2 linked regions of the Callithrix jacchus genome follow. The protein of the gene in region 1 interacts with the protein of each later gene in a biochemical or structural test. Links are inferred from orthologs where the notes say so. Each region holds a gene or a part of one and is shown in the gene's direction. Other genes may lie near its edges.

Evidence for each region. The genes of interacting proteins can lie anywhere in the genome.
Region 2: the proteins of TOP1 (region 1) and NKX3-1 form a complex in vitro, tested with the Homo sapiens proteins (2 studies listed by BioGRID and IntAct). The link is inferred for Callithrix jacchus from reciprocal best matches to the Homo sapiens genes TOP1 and NKX3-1.

What each region holds. Positions count from the first base shown.
Region 1 is NC_133506.1:36,460,993-36,471,888, forward strand, and holds part of TOP1 (DNA topoisomerase 1), read left to right. Parts: intron 1-197; coding exon 198-341; intron 342-1,035; coding exon 1,036-1,221; intron 1,222-2,336; coding exon 2,337-2,405; intron 2,406-3,229; coding exon 3,230-3,344; intron 3,345-4,792; coding exon 4,793-4,920; intron 4,921-8,348; coding exon 8,349-8,443; intron 8,444-8,963; coding exon 8,964-9,113; intron 9,114-10,131; coding exon 10,132-10,234; 3' UTR 10,235-10,896. UniProt on the Homo sapiens protein: Releases the supercoiling and torsional tension of DNA introduced during the DNA replication and transcription by transiently cleaving and rejoining one strand of the DNA duplex.
Region 2 is NC_133514.1:17,800,757-17,811,752, forward strand, and holds NKX3-1 (homeobox protein Nkx-3.1), read left to right. Parts: upstream 1-3,794; 5' UTR 3,795-3,855; coding exon 3,856-4,108; intron 4,109-5,079; coding exon 5,080-5,498; 3' UTR 5,499-7,937; downstream 7,938-10,996.

The sequences.
Region 1 (10,896 bases):
AGGGTTTCGCCATATTGGTCAGGCTGGTCTTGAACTCCTGACCTCAGGTGATCTGCCTGCCGCGGCCTCCCAAAGTGCTAGGATTACAGGCGTGAGCTACTGTGCCTGGTCCATTCAGAGTTCTGAACTTTGATATTCAAAGTTGTCTTTACTACACTGTCCCGAAGTAAACTACCTTTGGGGTTGGGTCTTTTCAGGGTGAGAAAGACTGGCAGAAATACGAGACTGCTCGACGGCTGAAAAAATGTGTGGACAAGATCCGGAACCAGTATCGAGAAGACTGGAAGTCCAAAGAGATGAAAGTCCGGCAGAGAGCCGTAGCCCTGTACTTCATCGACAAGGTGAAAGCATCTTCCTATCAGCATTGTCTGGTGTTGAGCTTAACAAAGGGAGCTTCTGCTCTGCCCCAAGCCCTGTGGCAGATACTGTATATCACAGCTCAACACACATATAAATATATTTGTGTGTATAACTGAATCAAAAGTTGCACAAAACAATGCTTAGCCTGTGAGCAGTAGATTCAGATTTTTTTTAACTCTATTTCATTCCTTTAGAAAAAGTTGGTTATAACTCATAAAATTGGTTAAATAAACCATGCAGGTATCACCATTATAGTTTGAAAGACCATGCTCTAGAGGAGACCAATTTCTTGGTACTCATGAGAAGAAAAAAATATTTGTGTTTTTCCCAATTTTGTACTGCTTATTTTAACGTAAGTTTTGAATTGTCTCAAAATTCACACTAGCTTTTTGAGTTTGATTGCCCAGAGTAGCAGCACTCCCTCATTTGCTACTTTATTTTTTTCTTCTCCATCCCCATTTCAGAAGACAAAATAGGGAGAAGAGAAGCTTGACTATTTAACTAGTTTTCATAGGGGGCGGGGGAGGAAGTAACACTGCAGAATCCAGAGTTTCCAGGCCATGCTGACTGATGCTCTGGCCTCAAACAGAATTGGAAGGCTTCTGTTTTGGATTCCTAGAAATTGTATAAGGGTCATGTCTCTTCATTCATGGTCATCTTTTCTTTCCTGGGCAGCTTGCTCTGAGAGCAGGCAATGAAAAGGAGGAAGGAGAAACAGCAGACACTGTGGGTTGCTGCTCACTTCGTGTGGAGCACATCAATCTACACCCAGAGTTGGATGGTCAGGAATACGTGGTAGAGTTTGACTTCCTTGGAAAGGACTCCATCAGATACTACAACAAGGTCCCTGTTGAGAAACGTGTAAGTTAATTTAGCCTGTATTGTCTGGCTTGTTTTTCATTATTCAACAAGCATTGCTTGAGTGCTTTGTGTCCTCTGCAGTTTGCTGGGTACCAGCAAAAGTGACTTGAGACAGGCATTGTAGCACATGCCTGTAGTCCCAGCTACTTAGAAGACTGAGACAGGAGAATCACTGGAGACCAAAAGTTTGAGGCTATAGTGTGCTCTGATCACACCTGTGAATATCCATTGTACTCCAGCCTGGCCAACAGAGTGAGACCCTGCCTCTAAAATTAAAATAAATAAATGACTTGAAAGAGGGGAGAGGTAATATTTGATGTCTTGTGTACCTCCTTTTAGTCACTGTCCCACCCTGTATTACCTTTCTGATAAGGACATTTGTCACTTGGCATCTTTACTTAGCCTCTCTCCAACTCCTGACTGAGTGAAAGGTTAATCTGTTAGTCCCCAGATCCCACCACTGAAGAGGGTGCTAGAGCTCCATAGTCCCAACCTGATCTTTTCCAAAGTATTGGGCTGGAACCAGAGACCTGTAGTGTGCAGGATACTAATAATCCAGCCCAGCAGCAGTCTCAGATTTAATCAGTAATTAGACTTTGCTGGCCGTGGAAGAGTACTCTATTAGATGCTAAAGCGATTTGACAATTAAATGTAATGCCTGACCTCAGATTGGATTCTATACTGATGAAGTAAAGGGCATCATCAGATAAAGTGACAAAATTGGATTGTGGACAGTAGATTAGATAACAGTAGGTATCAATGTAAATTTTTGAAGCTGATAAATACTGTGTAAATGTAAGGGTATATCTATTTTTACAATGTACAAACTGAAATATTTAGGGTTAAAGGACTGTATGATAAGTAAGTACTTATAAATGGCCCAGAGCAAATAATTATGTATATATATCTGTAAATATACATGCGGAGAGAGTGAGCATACATGTGCCCTGTGCAAATGATGAATGAGGTAAAAGGTTAACAGTGAATCTGGGTGAAGGATGTATGCATGTTCCTGTGCCTTTTTTTTCTTTGCAAGTTTCTGTAAGTTTGGGATTATTTCTAATGTAAGGATTTTTTTAAAAGAGTAATAATTGGGATTCACTTATTTCTTTTAGGTTTTTAAGAACTTACAACTATTTATGGAGAACAAGCAGCCTGAGGATGATCTTTTTGATAGACTCAATGTGAGTAGACAAAGCACACTGGGTTGAAGGGATTCCCAGCCAGAACCTCAAGGGGAGGGTTGCTGGCAGATAACGGGCTCTTCCTTTAGCCTGGCCTGCTCTGTGGCATCCTGTATACTCTCTCTTCCTCCCTCCAAGCCCACGGTGAATCTGTGGCCAAGAGAAGACACATCTGCTGTAGAACAAATGCTAAGGCCCTCAAGGTGAGAGTAGATGAACCCTACCTTTTATCCCTTCCCTGCTCCTGCAGAGCTTTCCCTTCACTGAATGCCCAGCCATCCCTACTGGAGACCCAAAACCTGTGCCTGAGATCTTGATAGGGAAGGACAAATTTGCTTTATTGGTCTGTTAAGATCAAAATACTGGGCCAGGCTTGGTTGCTTACGCCTGTTATCCCAGCACTTTGGGAGGCCAAGTAGGGCAGATCCCTTGAGGTCAGGAGTTTGAGACCAGCCTGGGTAACATGGCAAAATCATTATCTAGGCGTGGTGGTCCATGCCTATAGTCCCAGCTACTTAGGAGCATCAGGAGGATTTCATGAGCCCAGGAGGTGACGGCTGCAGTGAACCGAGATTGCACCACTGCACTCCAGGCTGGGTGTCAGAATGAGACCCTGACATACGTACACACACATGCACACTGAAATACTTCATAGAGAGGCATTATGTAACCCTGTATTCTGGAATTCTTTTCCTAACTTCTCACTTGTAGGGAAATAAACTTGACACGATTGTGACTGCACTGGTATAAATTACTCCTAGGGCTGCCAGAAGGAGCAGGTAGTACAGCTTTGACCTAAGTCTCTGTTACATTGTCTCCTCCAGACTGGTATTCTAAATAAGCATCTTCAGGATCTCATGGAGGGCTTAACAGCCAAGGTATTCCGTACATACAACGCCTCCATCACGCTACAACAGCAGTTAAAAGAACTCACAGCCCGTAAGTATTACTTGGCTGGACAGGGCCCACACCCCTACTCATGGTATCCGGTGTCCTTGCTTAGCTAAGTCCTAGAGTCAGTTCTACTTTTTTTTCCCTACCATTGTGATCAGACACTTTTCCTCTTTAGACCTCTAATAGTTAGCTAATGCTTAGTTGTATAAACTTAAGATCAGTGCTGTTTCCCCCTTCCCACCCCAACTTCAAGATTAATTTCATGGATTGCTGACAGCTTTTTACCTGCTATGAAAATACCTGCATTTGTGTTTTATTAATATATTACTTAAAAGCTCACAGAGTGAAGGCAGTGCTGTGATGTTCTGTTAAATTGAAGAGAGTAAAGTTGTCATGTTTATGAGAAAGATACAGGGATAAGTCCTTTCCCTAAAGTTTCTATCATTTTTTTTCCCTGTAAGAGAGTAGATACTTTCTATAGCCAATTTTTAGAATATTATCACCAAGATCACGGACTTTTTTTTTCCTGGAGCCCAGTCACTAATGAATTTCCACTGCCCTCTGTAAATACGTCAAATGGCCTTAGAATATGAACCAGAAAAGCCAGAGGTAGGTATGTTCAGGTCAGTGTTTTAAGGTGATAGAAAGAATGCGACACTGTTTATACAAGTAAAAACAATTTTTTTGGATGACATTTACAATTTTTCTTTTTAAATAATATACTACCAGGCCAGGTGCAGTGGCTCACACCTGTAATCCCAGCACTTGGGTAGCTGTGGCAGGAGACTTACTTGCACCCAGCAGTGTTCCAGACCAGCCTGGGCAACATAGTGAGACCTCATCTCTACAAAAATTTGTAAAAATTAGGCAGGTGTAGTGGTAGTCCCAGATACCTGGGAGGCTGAGTCCAGGAGTTTAGGGCTGCAATAGCCACAACCATACCACTGCATTCCAGCTTGGGTGACAGAGTAAGACCCAATCTCTAAAATAATAATAATCATAATAATACTACCACTCATAGCTTAAATTTTTTTAACTTTTAACATCTCTTCAGTTCCTCATTTTGTTCAGGCTACATTGGGTAGAGAGATAGGGAGGCAGGGAGGCAGGGAGTGGCCAGTATAGAACTTAATGAATATGGGCAACAAACCATAGTAATAATAGCAGCAGCACCTATGACAAGCATATGGGTAGGGAGGAAGCAAGGAGATGAAGGGTCCCTAGCCAAGTTCTCTGAGTAAAAAGAAAGGTGTAGATTTTATTATATTACCTCAGAGTTCCTCTTGTGATGGGAATTTACCCAGGCCAAGCTTACATATTAACTTCCTATTTTCTTATGACTGTTGGCTCAAATTTTGATCTTAGGCGTTGGAGGCAAGTTGAATTACCTGAGTAAGATAAGGGCCAGTAAGATCATGGGGAGGAGGCACTACTGTGTGTTCACTGTTGGCATACAAACTGACCCTCTTGCTACCATGTTCCTTTCTTTACAGCGGATGAGAACATCCCAGCGAAGATCCTTTCTTATAACCGTGCCAATCGAGCTGTTGCAATTCTTTGTAACCATCAGAGGGCACCACCAAAAACTTTTGAGAAGTCTATGATGAACTTGCAATCTAAGGTATCTTGGATGAAATGAAGGGAACTTCATGATTTGCTGTGGGCAGATCATCTGCAAATGAGAGGTTTTGGGGCTTAGATATCAATATGCAGGCCAGTTCTGGGTCTGTTCTTGAAGGTCCATGCTAAAGATAAACACATGGAAATACACTAGTAATCTCTGATCAAAATACTGAGTATCAGAGTACCATTGTTCAAGAAATCTTAATTCTACAGACAGAAGTTCTATACTGGCCACTTCCTATTTTGAAAAGCTAACTTTGATGCACATTCTAATTGCTAATTACTGTTCTTATTATACATGAGGAAAATGGATTTAAAGCGAGTCTTCACAATTCCTTGCCACAGCCCCCAGAAATACAGCTATTTCCAAATTAGATTGTTTCAAATTGAAAGGATGATGAAACAATTATATATTTAAAGTGTTTCCAATCCTAGCATAGCTATTTTTATTTTTATGCATTCCACATGAATCATATTTTTATATATCATCAAACATCTGTTGAAAACTGACACGCCAGACAAGTTGCTGCTCTAGAGGGAAAGACTGATGTGCAAATAGGTGATGTTCCTAGTCCATGAGCCTCCTTCCTCCTCCTAACTCTTCCTGGTACTGAGTGTTTAAACCGTAAGGCAGTTAACATTTGATAATGAGCATTTTTGTGTTAGCAATGACTTCATAACTAATTCATCCTAATTTGGTGGCCCACAGTGAAAATGTGCGGCTATTTCATTACAGAACAGATACACAGGGTTAAAAAGGAAACCAATTATATTGAAATACAGTTATCAAAATATATTTTAAAGTCCAATATAGTAATAGTTATGCTTCCTATTAAGGTCTTGAGGTGGCCGAAATAAATTTCAAGGTAGTAATTAATGAATATAAATGATAATTTAAGATTTCTACAGCAATTCAAATATGAAGTGTGAAAATGTCTATAACATCTGATGATAAAGTCGTAGGTGCTGCCGCTATTACTATGGTTTGTTGCCCATATTCATAACTGAAGAAGAAATATCAAAATTCAGCTAGAGGCTGGGTGCAGTGGCTCACACCTGTAATCTCAACACTTTGGGAAGTTAAGGTGGAAGGATCACTTAAGCTAAGGAATTCAAGAACAGCCTAGGCAACATAGTGAGACCCTGTCACTATTAATATTTTTTAAAAATACAAATAAATTTCAAATTGGGGTTAACGATATTATAGAAGTAATTTTTTTCTCAGCTGGGCACGGTGGCTCACGCCTGTAATCCCAGCACTTTGGGAGGCCAAGGCGGGTGGATCACGAAGTCAAGAGATGGAGACCATCCTGGTCAACATGGTGAAACCCCGTCTCTACTAAAAATACAAAAAATTAGCTGGGCATAGTGGCGCGTGCCTGTAATCCCAGCTGCTCAGGAGGCTGAGGCAGGAGAATTGCCTGAACCCAGGAGGCAGAGGTTGCGGTGAGCCGAGATCGTGCCATTGCACTCCAGCCTGGGTAAGCAAGAGCGAAACTCCATCTCACAAAAAAAATAAAAAAATTTCTCATCAAGTTTATGGAATTCTATACTTGTACAGCTGGAGTTTAAGAACTACTACTATGGAATAAGACTGCATTTTAAGGCCCAGAATGTTTTTCATTTGTTGAGATTTCCTTAAGATAAATACCCATGAGTAGTACAGCTGGGTCAAAAGGTATACACAACCATTAGTTTATGCTAAAGATGCCATCTGGCTTTCTTGAAGGGATGTACATGTCCATATTGAATGAATATACATCCATAGACCTCTTGAGTCTTTGGATCATATGGTTGGCAGGCAAAGTACCCTATAGATAGACCACCCATCCTAGCAGCTCACATTTGCTGCCACTTTATTAAATGCTGGTCATCTGGAATTGTTTATTCTTCTCGTGTTATATTCCAAGCCAGAAATAAAAGCATGAATATTCAGGTGCTGTTTACCTAATTCAGGAAGACCCCTCCCAGGAGCATGAGGAGGTCTTTTGTTGCTCTCACTCTGGAACCACTGTTTGGGTAGCCCAGGCTGCCTGCCAGACGAGGCCTCCAAGCCCAGGATTCCTCTCCTGTGTGCCCACAAAGCAAACACACGCCCCTGTTTGCCAAGTGAATCAATGGAGTCTTTGATGCTTTGAGAGAATTTGACATAGCCTGCCAATTTAGCATTCACAGAAATGGTTAAAAGATTGTGGTTTGCTGCATTTCTAGCCTAAAAAGAATCTGGCTAGTGGTGTCTGTGATGCTTTTGTATATAGAATCAGTCCCCTCAGTTTGGCTTTGGACAACATAGATATTGGAAGTAAGCCATTCATAGTAAAACATATTCAATGATTCTCACAATGGTGGCCTCTGTTTCCAATCTCAGGCTGTGTGTATCTAACAAACAATTCTAGTCTCAGTGAGCAGCCCAGTGTGTGTCAGACATGTTATTTACTCTGTGGAGGTTGTCTTAACCTCACAGATCAGCTAGATGATCATTTGTGTGGGGTTCTTCTGACCCCACCCCCCCACCCCCCCCAGCAGTGTGAGCTCACTGACAGGGGCTCTAGCTCCATGTTGTTGCCCACTGCTGTCTCTAAGGAGGAATCTAAGAAGAACTTAGATTCACCAGGGGGCTTCAAGGATTCTAACAAACAAGAAAGGCTGAAACTGCCCATGTCTCTTCCCTCATAGATATGGATCCCACAAGATTTCACTTGGGGGAGAAAAAGCTCCACAGCTAAAAGTATTTTCACATCCATTGAGTGACAACTAAGGTCCTTTCCACCTCGGACCTCTCCCCTTTAAAAACAGAATGTCAAAACCAGGCCCTGCCATGTCCTGGTTTGGGACAGACTGGCTGAGCTGTTTGGCTTCCTGGGTACCTTTTAATTGCCAGTTTTTAGCCCCTTGGGTACTCTGTTCAGTGCATCCGTTTTCCTTGAGAAGCCGGCACCCCCTTCCCAGAGTACTGGTGGGATCTGAGGAATGAGCTGGGGTTGCCCAGTCGATGCAAGTATCCTGCCTCAGCTTCCTAGAGAGTAGCTCCTACAGTATTCTTGGAATGAAAGCTAAAAACTGGAACAGGATCTATTTGATAAACAGCTGTCATTTGTAGCCCCCCTCCAGATGACTAATGGCAGAGTGTTCTCTGATGGAAATATCAACACTCAGATTCCCAGCCCCAGCAGGTTCCTTTTCCTCAACCCCGCAGGTTACTGCCCTATTGAACCCTTGTTTCTCAGAGGATCACTGAAGAACAAATAGTTGAATTCAGTAGTCCTTGTGCATCTTCTCTCTACCTTCATGAAGCCACCCTTGGTGTTTTTATATGACCATCCACTGAGAGAGACAGCCTGATGGAGATAACATCTAGGTTTCACTTCTGATGGAGCCATTTTTTTTCTCTACAGCTTCTAACCTTACCACTATTATTTCCCCTAGATTGATGCCAAGAAGGAACAGCTAGCAGACGCCCGAAGGGACCTGAAAAGTGCTAAGGCTGATGCCAAGGTCATGAAGGATGCAAAGACCAAGAAGTATGTACTTGGTATTGTGAAAGTCGGGGGCTGGTAGAGAAAAGTTTGCGTAGCATCTGTCAGAGGCCCTGGGGTTCCAGCTTTTCTATGGTTTCTGAGTGATAGCTTTTTTTTTTTTTTTTTTTTTTTTTTGGAGACGGAGTTTTGCTTTTGTTACCCAGGCTGTGGAGTGTATGACACGATCTTGGTTCACCGCAACCTCCACCTCCTGGGTTCAGGCAATTCTCCTGCCTCAGCCTCCTGAATAGCTGGGATTACAGGCACACGCCACCATGCCCAGCTAATTTTTTTTTTTTTTTGTATTTTCATTAGAGACGGGGTTTCACTCTGTTGACCAGGATGGTCTCGATCTCCTGACCTTGTGATCCACCCGCCTCGGCCTCCCAAAGTGCTGGTCTGAGTGATATCTTTTGGAAATCTCTGTACTTGGGCTTTTATTGACGCTAAGTGGCAGGATGGGTACAGTGTGCTTTTGTCTTGAGCCCAGGCCTGGTTCTTGAGGACTCTGCTATTCTTCTAGGGTAGTAGAGTCAAAGAAGAAGGCTGTGCAGAGACTGGAGGAACAGTTGATGAAACTAGAAGTTCAAGCCACAGACCGAGAGGAAAATAAACAGATTGCCTTGGGAACCTCCAAACTCAATTATCTGGATCCTAGGATCACAGTGGCTTGGTAAGTGTTGAGCCCTCTTGAGCTCCTACTGTTAGCTTGAGAAAGGTGGAGGGGGTTTCGAGGGCACTGGTGGCCTTCACATGCCATTCCTAAGTTGTACACTTCTAGTCCTATGGGGAAACTTCTCGCTTCAGCTGTGTACAGGGTACTCTGGTTGCTGAACTTTGTCTGTAAATGCATTGCAACATCCTGGATGGTCCTAAATGATGGTCAGTGCTGTCATACTGCCTTGTAGTGTATGTTATGCTTTTAAGAGGCAGGTGCTATCCCTATTCCTTATGGAATTTTAGGACAGGAATGGAAACTCAGCCTCTGGAAAAATAGGAAAGAGCCCATATATCTATACCCTTCAATAGAACTTTTCGTTAATTTTTTTGCAGTTGAAGGTAGGAACAAGAGATAAAAACAAAGATGAGAATACAAACAGAGAGGTAGAGGGACCTATAACAAAGGCATATAAATATTGGGGTCTCTGTGTGTCACACTGGAAACAAGTGGCTTTGTTTTGGAAGATGTTGAGTTTGCCCTGTTAAGTTCCAGGCATAGGTGGAGATATCCTCCCCTAGGGCACTTGCTAGTCCAGGCCAAAGGTTCCACATAGCTCTTTTGTACCTCTTTCTGCTCATTTTGCCTTGTTTGGTGTTAGAGGTGTGATTAGTTCTTGAAAGGCTATATAGTATAGTGGTTAATAATACAGAGAAAAACTGTTTGGGTTCAAATTTCAGGTCACATATCAGCTAGCTGTGTGAGAAAATAAGTAAATTACCTAACGTCTCCGCCTCAGTGTCTTCATCTGGCCCTTTTTCACTTGTACATCTGCAGAATCACCTACTTTAGAGATCACCGTCAAGATTAAATGAGTTGATCACATGAAACCCTTAGAACATGGTTGGTGCACCATTAATTTGCATTCTCACTAGACAGATGTGAAAGAGAAGATGGCACATGAGACCCCAGGCCTCAGATCTGGGCCATTGCTGAGTCACACTAATCCTCCTTATTTCTCCTTTATTTGCAGGTGCAAGAAGTGGGGTGTCCCAATTGAGAAGATTTACAACAAAACCCAGAGGGAAAAGTTTGCCTGGGCCATTGACATGGCTGATGAAGACTACGAGTTTTAGCCAGTCTCAAGGGGCAGAGTTCTGTGAAAAGAACAGTGTGGTTTGGGAAAGATGGATAAACTGAGCCTCGCTTGCCCTCGTTTCCGGGGGAGAGAGGCAGCAAGTCTTAACAAACCAACATCTTTGCGAAAAGATAAACCTGGAGATATTATAAGGGAGAGCTGAGCCAGTTGTCCTATGGACAACTTATTTAAAAATATTTCAGATATCAAAATTCTAGCTGTATGATTTGTTTTGAATTTTGTTTTTATTTTCAAGAGGGAAAGTGGATGGGAATTTGTCAGCGTTCTACAAGGCAAATTCACTGTTTCACTGAAATGTTTGGATTCTCTTAGCTACTGTATGCAAAGTCCGATTATATTGGTGCGTTTTTACAGTTAGGGTTTTGCAATAACTTCTATATTTTAATAGAAATAAATTCCTAAACTCCCTCCCCTCTCCCCCATTTCAGGAATTTAAAATTAAATAGAAAAAAAAAACCCAGCGCACCTGTTAGAGTCGTCACTCTTTATTGTCATGGGGATCAATTTTCATTAAACTTGAAGCAGTCGTGGCATTGGCAGTGTTTTGGTTCAGACACCTGTTCACAGAAAAGCATGATGGGAAAATATTTCCTGACTTGAGTGTTCCTTTTTAAATGTGAATTTTTATTTCTTTTTAAT
Region 2 (10,996 bases), on another chromosome or scaffold:
GACAAGCCTTCCACTGTGATTTGCCTGGAGGTCCTTTGGCCCCTTAGGATCATTCTGCTAGCCAGTGAGATACCTCATAACAACTGGAGCTGGACATTCAGCCAGAAAGCATTGTGGAGCAACTTCTGTATGTCAAAACTAAGCCAGGTACACATATGAGGAGGATACAGTCCCTTCTCAGGGAGCTCACAGTCTCATAAAGACGAGCATCCACAGCCCCAAATACAAAGCACAAGGGGAGGAAAGGTGCAGTGAAGTGAGGCTGAGGACCATGAGCTGTGGTCCCACTCACAGGCCTGCGGAGGGCACAGTGGAGGAGGGCAGTTCAGGCTCAGCTCTAGCTTTACAGTTTTCTTTTTAAGTATCAATGAGAACAAGGAAATACACCCTGTTCCACTCTCCTCCTGTCCCTCTCCCAACCTACCTACTGTCTCCATCTCTCCATCTCACTGAGCAGAAATAACTACTCTATGGAAAAAAAGAATATATATGTGTATATCTTGTTCCTGATATATTCTGCATGTAAAAGTGTTCAAATGTAGAACATTATATAGATAACTTATAATGCTATGTTATACAATGGGTTTAGTCTACAACATATTTTGCAGCTTGAACCAGTCTCTGACCAAATTGAATATATGTTCCCAAGTCAATACATCGTGTATTTGTGCATTTCTAGGGCAAATCACCAAACACGGAATAGCTGTGTCAAAGGATATGCTCAGTTTTAATTTTGACAAATATGGCCAAGGTGCCATCCAAAAACAGTCATGCATCCTAAGGAACAAGAATATGTTCTGAGAGATGCATTGTTAGGCAATTTCGTTGTTATGCAAACATCATAGAGCTACTTACACAAACTTAGATGGATATAGTCTACTATACACCTAGGCTACATGGTGTATGCCCTATTGCTCCTAGGCTACACACCTGTACAGCATGTTACTGTACTGAATACTACAGGCAAAGGTAACACAATGGTAAGAATTTGTGCATCTAAACATAAAAAGCTACAGTAAAAATACAGCATTGTAACCTTATGGAACCACCATCATACATGCTGTCTGTCACTGACCAAACACCTTCATGCCGTGCATGACTGTGTGAAGCACCTGTCTGTCCACACTCTCACTGACACTGGACATTATCCATTTTTTAAACCTTTGTCCATCTGAAAGGTGGAAAAGGCTTGTCTTGATGTGATTCTGATTTGCATTTCTTTAGTGATGAAGTGTAGTTAAAATATTTTTTTCGCATGCTTGTTTGTGTTTTACATTTTTGAGCTGTCTGGAATTTATTTTGTCATAAGAATAGAACTTTATAATTTCCAAATGGCAGTACTTGTTATTAAATAATTCATACCCAGCTCTCAATTTTAAAAATGAAAGGAGGCCATCTCAAGCTAAACCTCATACTGTACACAAAAATTAATTCAGACTGAATCATGGATTTAAGAGTAAAGCATGAAACTTTTAGAAGATAACATAGGAGCAATCTTCAGTATTAGGAGTAAGCAAAGAGTTCTTAGGCATGACATCAAAATCATTATTTGCAAAATTCAAAAATCAAAAATTTATCTTCAATGAAATTAAACTTTTGTTCCATTGAAGATCCTGTTAAAGGGATGAAAACACAAGCTACAGACCGGGTGATAATATTTGCAAACCACCTACCCAACAAAGACTTACATACGGCAATACATAAAGAACTATCACAACTCAATAATTAAAACAAAATCCGTTATAACATGATCAAAAGGCTTGAACAGATATTTCATCAAAGAGGAAATACAGATGGCAAACAAGCACATGACAAGATATTCAACATCCCTAACCATTTGTGAAATACAAATTTAAAAATTAAACCACAATAAGGCCAGGCACAGTAGCTCGCATCTGTAGTCGCAGCACTTTGGGAGGTCGAGGGGGAAGTATTCTTTGAGCCCAGGCTTTGAGACCAGCCTAGTCAACAAGGTGAAACCTCATCTTTACAAAAAATACAAAAATTAGCTGGGCATGGTGGCATCCACCTGTAGTCCCAGCTATTCAGGAAGTTGAGGTGGGAGAATCTCTCGAGCCCAGGAGATCCAAGTTGCAGTGAGCCATGATCTCTCCACTGCACTCCAGCCTAGACAACAGAGCAAGACCCTGTCTCTAAATAAATAAATAAAATGAGGTCTGTAGTGTAGTTAACTGTAATGTTCCAGTGTAAATTTTCTGTTTTTATATTGTCCTACAGTTATATAAGAAGACACTGGAAGTATTATTTTTGCAACTTCCTGTGAATCTACAATGATTCAAAAGAAAACATTTTTTAAAATGTTCGAATATAAAGAGACTGAAAAGATGAGAGAAGAGAACCAGCTTTGCCAAAGCCTTGCCCACTGCACAGGTAGTTTTCTGCAGTCACGTTATCAGCAATAATCCATCAACTTTGCTTCCTCCAGAGACACATGACATACCAACCTTTCGAAAAGTTTCCAGTCAAATGGAAGGCATCTTAGACCAGGACAGACTTAAAAGTTGCATTAAAAAAAATAGTTCAAAAAAATCAGCCTACCCTTTTTCCAGATTACCGTTACCACTTAACCTACTGGCTTTGCTGAGTGGGATCTATCAATCTGCATGCTTGTTTCAGAACCATTTGATGTAAGTTTCATAGAACTTGTGCCTTCGCTCCTACGTACTTCAGTGTTTATTTCCTAAAAGTATTCTCTGATACACTGACAGTACAGTGCGCAACTTCAGTAAATTTAACATTCATTCAGTACTTCCATCATGGGCCCAAATTGACTCACACCTGTGGGGAGGCCAAGGCAGGAGGATCGCTTGAATCCAGGAGATTGAGGCTTCGGTGAGCTATGATGGCATCACTGCGCTGCAGCCTGGGTGGCAGAGCAACACCCTGTCCGTAAAAAGGGAAGAGCAAAGAAAATACTTCTAGCATCTCTGTTCCACCTTCATCCATTGTCATGGTACCATCCAGTCCAATCACAGTCCTGGTTGGTCCAATTTGGCTAACCCATTGTTTAGCCAATGGATTAAATGTTAACAGTTGGTAATCTGGAAAAAGTGTATGCTGATGTTCTTTTGAACTATTTTTTGAATGCAGTTTTTGTGTCTGTCCTGGTCTGAAACGCCTTCCACCTGTCTGGAAGTTTTTCAAAAGGATGGTATGTCATCTGTCTAGGGCAGAAGGAAAGTTAATAGCTTATTGCGGATAAAGGAAAGGCCAAAGAAACCCACTTGGGGAAAGGCTTTGGCAAAGGTGGTTTCTTTCTCTCAGGCTGGGGTCAGGCTTCACCTACTCGTCATGCCTCTTTGAGACGGCAGATATTGCAGATCTGTTTGCCACCATCTCTCTGAGAGAGACAGCTCCCAGAACTCTCACGGTACTATGCGGCGGCAGTGACTGCGCCCTCACACCCTGTGATTGGCTCTGACGGTCCTGAAGAGCTAACTGGAGTGTTTGTCTTGGTCATCCCATCCCCAAGAGCGTCTCAACTTCTGTTGCGGGTGGGTGGGGCAGAGGAGTCCCACTTTGGTGTGCACTCCCTCCCGGCCTGGGAAAACGGCTCAGGGAGGAGGGAGGAGAGCTGGGAAAGGAGTGGGAATTGGGGAAGGAATCACCTAGAAAGGAGTGGAGCCCTGCGGCGCCCAGGACTCGATGCTCTGCGGAGTCACCTGGAGCGCTGGGCGGCCAATCCGAGGCGCGACCCGTCCCATGGCCAATGGGAAGGCGGCGCAGCGCGCTCCCCGAGGCTATAAGCGCACTGGGCGGCGGAAAGTGAAAGCGTTACGGGCGCGGCAGGCTGGCACAGCCGAGCTGGAGTCAGGCCGGAGCCGGGCCGCCGGGATGCTCAGGGCTCCAGAGCCGCGGCCAGGGGAGGCAGAAGCGGAGGGGGCAGCGCCGCCGACCCCGTCCAAGCCGCTCACGTCCTTCCTCATCCAGGACATCCTGCGGGACGGCGCGCAGCCGCCTGGTGGCCACAGGGGTACCCCGCTACAGCGGGACCCGGAGCCAGAGCCGGAGGGAGGACGCGGCGGTGCCGGGGCGCAGAAGAAGGAGCTGAGCTCTGGGCTCCCGGCCGCGCCAGAGACCGAGGCAGGTAAGCGGCGAGGCGGGGGCTTGAGGGGCTGCCCGAGGCGGACCCCCTAGAGCTCGGGGTGCAGAGACTTGGGGCCCCGCGGCCACAGACGGAGGGATCTCCCCGACCCCCCCCCCCCCGCCATGCGTGCGCCCCGGGGATGAACCCTGAGCCCCAGCGTCAGGGCGGCACAGGATTCTGACACCGCAGGGCTCACCCAGACTGATGCCCTAGGCTCCCTGGGGCTCAGAACCCAGCGCACACCTCAGAGCAACCGCCCTCCATCGTCCCGGGAGCGGATCCCACCGCGCCACCCGCGATCGGTGCCAGCCCCACCGTAGTTACGAGAACTAATAATAACTTATTAATAGTGACAAAGCAGGGGTTGCCCAGCAAAGACCGTGTGCTTCCCAATCCTGTGGGCAGTAAAGTGGTACATTGGGGTTCCCTCTGGTGTCCAGGAGACAGAGTCCACTGATTTTCTTTCCTGCCACTTCTGATGCGACCACTCAACGCCGCGTTTACCGAAGAGGGAATTAAAGCCCTGAATGAGCCTGCCTCTGCCTCTCCCGAGGCACAAGCCCTCTCTTGCCCACCTAGATCCTAACACCGGATGCCTTTTGGTCCGGCCTTCCCGGGTATTTGGTTCCTCGGCGTCTTCCCTGCCTCCCTCTCCCTCCTCTCCTCAGCACACAGATCCAGAATCCTCATTTAATTCTACCAGACACTAGGGAGAAAGTTCAACCACGAAACGCCTCTAACTTTGGATTCTTGCTGATTCTTCGAAAATGAATACCTAATAAACATATTTACTCACTCTTCCCTCGGGAGAGCTGCTTAGTCTGTCTTGTGAAAAAAGTGAAATGTATCCACGATGACAGTGGGCTGTTTGTTCACTCACTAAAGAGATAAGGGTTGATTGAATTCTGGTCTCTTCCCTGCTAACATGTTACTTTTGTCTTCCCTCCCTCCTTCCCCGCTTTCCTTTCCAGATAGGCACTTGGGGTCTTATCTGTTGGACTGTGAAAACACTTCAGGCGCCCTTCCAAGCCTCCCCCAAACCCCGAAGCAGCCGCAGAAGCGCTCCCGGGCTGCTTTCTCTCACACTCAGGTAATCGAGTTGGAGAGGAAGTTCAGCCATCAGAAGTACCTGTCGGCCCCTGAACGGGCTCACCTGGCCAAGAACCTCAAGCTCACAGAGACCCAAGTGAAAATATGGTTCCAGAACAGACGCTATAAGACCAAGCGGAAGCAGCTCTCCTCGGAGCTGGGAGACTTGGAGAAGCGCGCCTCTTCGTCCGCCCTGAAAGAGGAGGCCTTCTCCAGGGCCTCCCTGGTCTCCGTGTATAACAGCTATCCTTACTACCCATACCTGTACTGTGTGGGCAGCTGGAGCCCAGCTTTTTGGTAATGCCACCTCAGGTGACACCCACGTATGATCAAAAACTGCCTTCCCCCGGGTGTCTCTCGGAAAAGCACAAGGGGCCAAGCTCAGGGTGTGACAGGTGTGCGCACCAAAGCTGTGGGAGATTTGCCTGGCAATCTCAGATTCTTCACTGGTGGGACAATGAAAACACAGACAGTGGCAGTTTTAATATCTCATTCATTCCCCCAGTGCACACTGTAGGCCATATTTTGCTTCTGGCTACCTGCTTGAAGGGGAAAGAGGGAAAATCAAGTGCTATTTCCAGCACATTGTATGATTTTGGATGAGCTGTACACCTGAGGATGCTGTTTTCCATCTCCATCCTCCTGTGTCACTGAATATCAGCTCTGAAGGAGCAAACCTAAAGGGAGAAAGGACAACCAGGATGAGGATGTCACCCACTGAATTCAACTTAAGTCCAGAAGCCTCCTGTTGGCCAAGGCTCTCTCTCTGTCCCTGTAAAAGAGAGGGGCAAATAGAAGGTCTCCAAGAGAACGCCCTCATGCTCAGCACATATTTTCGTGGGAGAGGGAGATGGGTGGGAGGAGATGAAATACCAGCTTCTTCTTATTCCTTCTTATTCCTTTTAAAATGTTATGCCAACTTGAGTATTTACAGGGTGGCCCAAATAGAACAAGACACACTCGCTGTGATTTTAAGACAAGCTGTATAAACAGAACTCCACTGCAGGTGGTGGGTCCTTGCCAGAGAATCTTCACATGTCCAAGACAGGGGCCTAAGGAGGGTCTTCACACTGCTGCTAGGGGCTGTTGCATTTTTTATTAGCAGAAAGGCCTCTTCTCAACTTTTTTCCCCTGGGTTGGAGAATTTAGAATGAGAAGTTTCCCGGATTTTCCAGGCTATCATATATACTGAATCCTGAGAGACAGCATCATTCTTCCTTCCCTCCTCTTTAAATTTTTTGTTCCTTTTTTTGCAGCAATTACTCACTAACAGGCTTCATTTTAGTCCAAACTTTTAGTCTGGCCACACCTAACATATGCCTCATTTATCGGCCTGAGAACTGCTCTTTCTTTCTCCCCTGCCCGCCAAATCTTTATCTGTCCTGAGTTTTTTTAAAAAGCTGGGGAACAGATTCTGAATTAGCTAAAAGAGATGCATTTTTAAAATTAGCAACTCTTCTTTCCTTTAAAAATATGCAGCATTAAATCCCAATCCTGTTTAAAGACCTGAAAGCTCAAGAAGGTCACTGCTGCATTTATAGGACCTTCTGGGGATTCTGTTGTTATGTTCGGAGTATGACAATTATTGGGAATCCTCGCATGTAGAGGAGGTAAGAGGTATTGGATTTTCATAGAGAAGGAAGAACACAGCACAGAAGGAAGGGCCAGGCTCACTGAGCTGTCCAGTGGAGGGCTCATGGGTGGGACTTGGAAAAGAAGGCAGCCTACGCCTTGGGGAGCCCAGTCCACTGAGCAAGCAAGGGACTGAGCCTTTGGCATGAAAAGACTAAGAAAAAGAAAACCTGTTTCAAAACACAAGGAACTGTCTAAACGCTTTGGGGACTGTGTTTAATGCCTATAATGGGTCCCCAGTATGGGTGACCTAGACTTCAGAGAGAATGAGCAGAGAGCAAAGGAGAAATCTGGCTATCCCACCATTTTCATTCTGTTATCTCAGGTGACCTGGCAGAGGGGAGGAGACATCAGAAAAAATAAAACAACAAAACAATTACCAATGAGGTACGCTATGCCTGGAAGTCTCTTGATTCCACTACTTAATTCTGTTTAGTGAGAAACGTTTCAATTTTCTTTCATTAAAGGGGTAAATTTACTGTTGGTGGCAAAATTGCCAACATAAGTTGACAGAAAGTTGGCCAATTTCACCCCATTTTCTGTGGCTGGGGATCCACATTGAAATGTTCAATGCCACATGCTGCCAACACCCACCAGAGCACTACACAGCACGAAGGCAGGGTCGCTTTCTACTTTGTGCATTTCTCTAAAAATATGTTTAGTGCTCAGTCCCTGTTGTACTCTCTCTCCCGTCCTCTGAATTTAATTATTTCAGCTTGAGACCTGCAAGGATTACACGTTTCACTGTGATGTATGTTGTGCTGCAAAAAAAGTATCTTGGTTTAAAATCATTTGGTTTGTGAACCCACCTTGCTTGTTCCCCGTTGGAACTAGTCATTAACCCATCTCTGAACTGGTTGAAAAACATCTGAAGAGCTAGTCCCTCCGTATCTAACAGGTGAACAGGATGGTTCTCAGAACCAGACAGCCCGTTTCTATCCTGCTTAATAAATTAGTTTGGGTTCTCTATATTCATAACAAACCCTGCTCCAAGCTGTAACATAAAAGTCTGTGACCGGAAGTTAGTCAGCACCCCCTTGAAACTATTTTTCCATGTATTTTTTTGCAACATATGAGTGTTTTGAAAATAAAGTAACCATGTCTTTATTAGATGTATCTGTGTGATTTTCAGCTTCCTAAAAACTACATGCTGCATAACTTAGATTTATAATTTATAATTTACATTTATAATTACCATATCCTCTTGTCCTTGTCCTCCTGACACACCCATGACAACCTATGGCGATCAATAGCCTCAGCCTACCCAGTAGCTGGTGACGGTCATCCTTTTATAAAGGCATTGGCCTTCCTTCCTGTTAAGTCATGAGGAGAGGAAGTCCTTTTCTCTCTTCAGTTTAATAATCAACTGCTCCACTATTCACAATAGCAACATCGTGGGTTGAGCCTACATGCCCATTAACAGAGCATCAGATTTTAAAATGTGGTACATATACACCATGGAAGACATACGTAGCCATCACAAATAAATCTGATGGTCTTCTGCAGCAACATGGATGGAGCTAGAAGCCATTATCATAAGTGAAATGACTCAGAGACAGAAAGTCAGAAACTGCATGTTCTCATTCAAAATGGGAGCTAAATGACGGGTGTCTATGGACCTACAGAGTAGAGGAAGAGACACTGGAGGCTCCGAAAGGTTGGAGGGTGGGAGGAGAGTGATGAAAATGACTGATTGGGTCCAGTGTTTACTGTTCAGGCAATGGATACTAAAAGCTCAGACTTCACCACTGTGCAACAGATCCATGCAACACAACTGCACTTGTACCCCCGAGTCTATGAACATTTTTAAAAATTAAATAATCACCTACTCCAGCCGATGAATATCTTTCGCATAAAAAAACAACCAAGTATTTACTTACATTTCTTGAATACCTTAAAGGGAACACAGACCACCGCAATCCGTCTTTAAAAATTCCCCTTTTGGCCAGCTGTGGTGGGTCACGTGTAATCCCAGCACTTTGAGAGACCAAGGCAATGGATCACCTGAGGTCAGGTGTTCAAGACCAGCCTGGCCAACATGTTAAAACCCTGTCTCCACTAAAAATACAAAAAGTAGCCAAGTGTGGTGGCGCACACTTGTAATCCCACCTACTCCAGAGACTGAGACAGGAGAATCACTTGAACCTGGGAGGCAAAGGTTGCAGCGAGCCAAGTTCACGTCACTGTGTTCCAGCCTGGGCTACAGATTGAGACTGTCTCAAAAAAAAAAACCCCTTAAATGTTCCGTTAGCCCCTCACACTATCACCCCCCTGGTTCCTGCATCTCTCAAAAAATGTCACCTTCAACCAGAGCTGATAAAACTCTTGCAAATGATGCCTTTGAATTGGAATCACAAGTATGAAAAATAGGTTTTATGAATGTGCTAAAATAAAACAAACAACACAGCCGTCATCTCCCTGCACTTAAACCTTCATTAAATCCCACAAGAGGAGTATCCCATGCACCTCATTACCTTCAAGAATTGATGGTTTGATTCTCCCTCCTTCAAGGAAATAGAAGCTTACAGAGTAACGTGCTTACTTTAAAGAAAATATATGATAATTTCCAACTTTGCTCTAATCCTTTAAGCACATGTACACACAGGTGGGGCTTCTCTTGGCATGCTCACTTCATAAGATTTAACTCTTTGCACAAATCTGTAGTCCTCCTCCCCTCCCCTGGAAGGCCACGAGCTCTCAAATTACAAAGATACTTGCAGTCAATTAACAGGTATAGATTTTTTAAAACCATTTTAAAGTAACTAATCCAGGAAATTAAATAAAAATCTCTCATCCCTTAAGAAAGTCCTCTTCTACCTCCTCTTTTTATCCCTTTTCCAACTTTCTTTATCTCTGCTAATCTCACACCCCTCTTCTTCCAGCAACTTCCCTTAGTGTGCCATTCAGCCATCCCCACTAGCATGCCACATGTTCGTGGTATCTGGAATTTCTCTTCTATTTGTCTCTCAAGTTACTTCTGATGAAAGTGTCTAGAGCCACTGTAGCTTTGTCATCAGTGGACCCATTGGTTCTTCCCAAGCCTCCTTAGGAAGACCAACCATATCTGTCAGAGGGGAAATGAATGTCTGAGACTCGTATCTAACTGTCTCCCTTCTATCAAAGCAAATTACCGTTGGAGGAGGATGTTAATTTCACACATCTTAAAGCTGACCTTGAAGGGAACAGTGGCCATGATGAGAAAGTCACTTAGCTTAGGTGCCCAGGAAACAGGTGCAGTGATTGGGGAATTACACACAGAAGCTTTCTTGACAGTGTGCTCAGGACACACAACTGGGAGGAAGTGAGGAAGGTGGGGTTGAGGAGAAGGAGAACCTGACCTTTTTTAATTGCATTTTAGGTTTTGGGGTACATGTGAAGAACATGTAATATTGTTGCATAGGTACACACATGGCAGTGTGGTTTTCTGCCTTCCTCCCCATCACCTATATCTGGCATTTCTCCCATGTTATCCCTCCCCAACTCCCCACTCCCTGCTGTCCCTCCCCTAGTTCACCCCCAACAGACCCCAGTGTGTGATGCTCCCCTCCCTATACATGTGGTTGATTTTCTGTTCTTGTGTCAGTTTGCTGAGAATTATGGTTTCCAGGTTCACCCATGTCCCTACAAATGACACTAACTCATCATTTTTGTGGCTGTATAGTATTCCATGGTATATATGTGCCACATTTTCTCTGTCCAGTCTATCATTGATGGGCATTTGGGTTGGTTCCAAGTCTTTGCTGTTGTAAACAGTGCCACAATGAACATTTGTGTGCATGTGTCCTTACAGTAGAACGATTTATAATCCTTTGGATATATACCAAGTAATGGGATTCCTGGGTCAAATGGAATTTCTATTTCTAGGTCCTTGAGGAATCGCCACACTGCCTTCCACAATGGTTGAACTAATCTACACTCCCACCAGCAGTGTAAAAGTGTTCCTACTGGAGAACCTGACTTTTAAGGCAGCTGCAACTGGCCTTAAGAAGCTCCAAAGCCACTGTGTCCCAAATTGAGGATCGTGGGCTAGACATGTGTATCCCAGCATCGGCTGCCTCCCGAAAGAGAGAATAACTTTGGGCAATGTAGTCCTCTCTGTGTTAGGCAATGGCCGTCAAGGGGCCCAGCTGTGATTCATTGAACCAATACGCCTAGCATCTGGGAGGG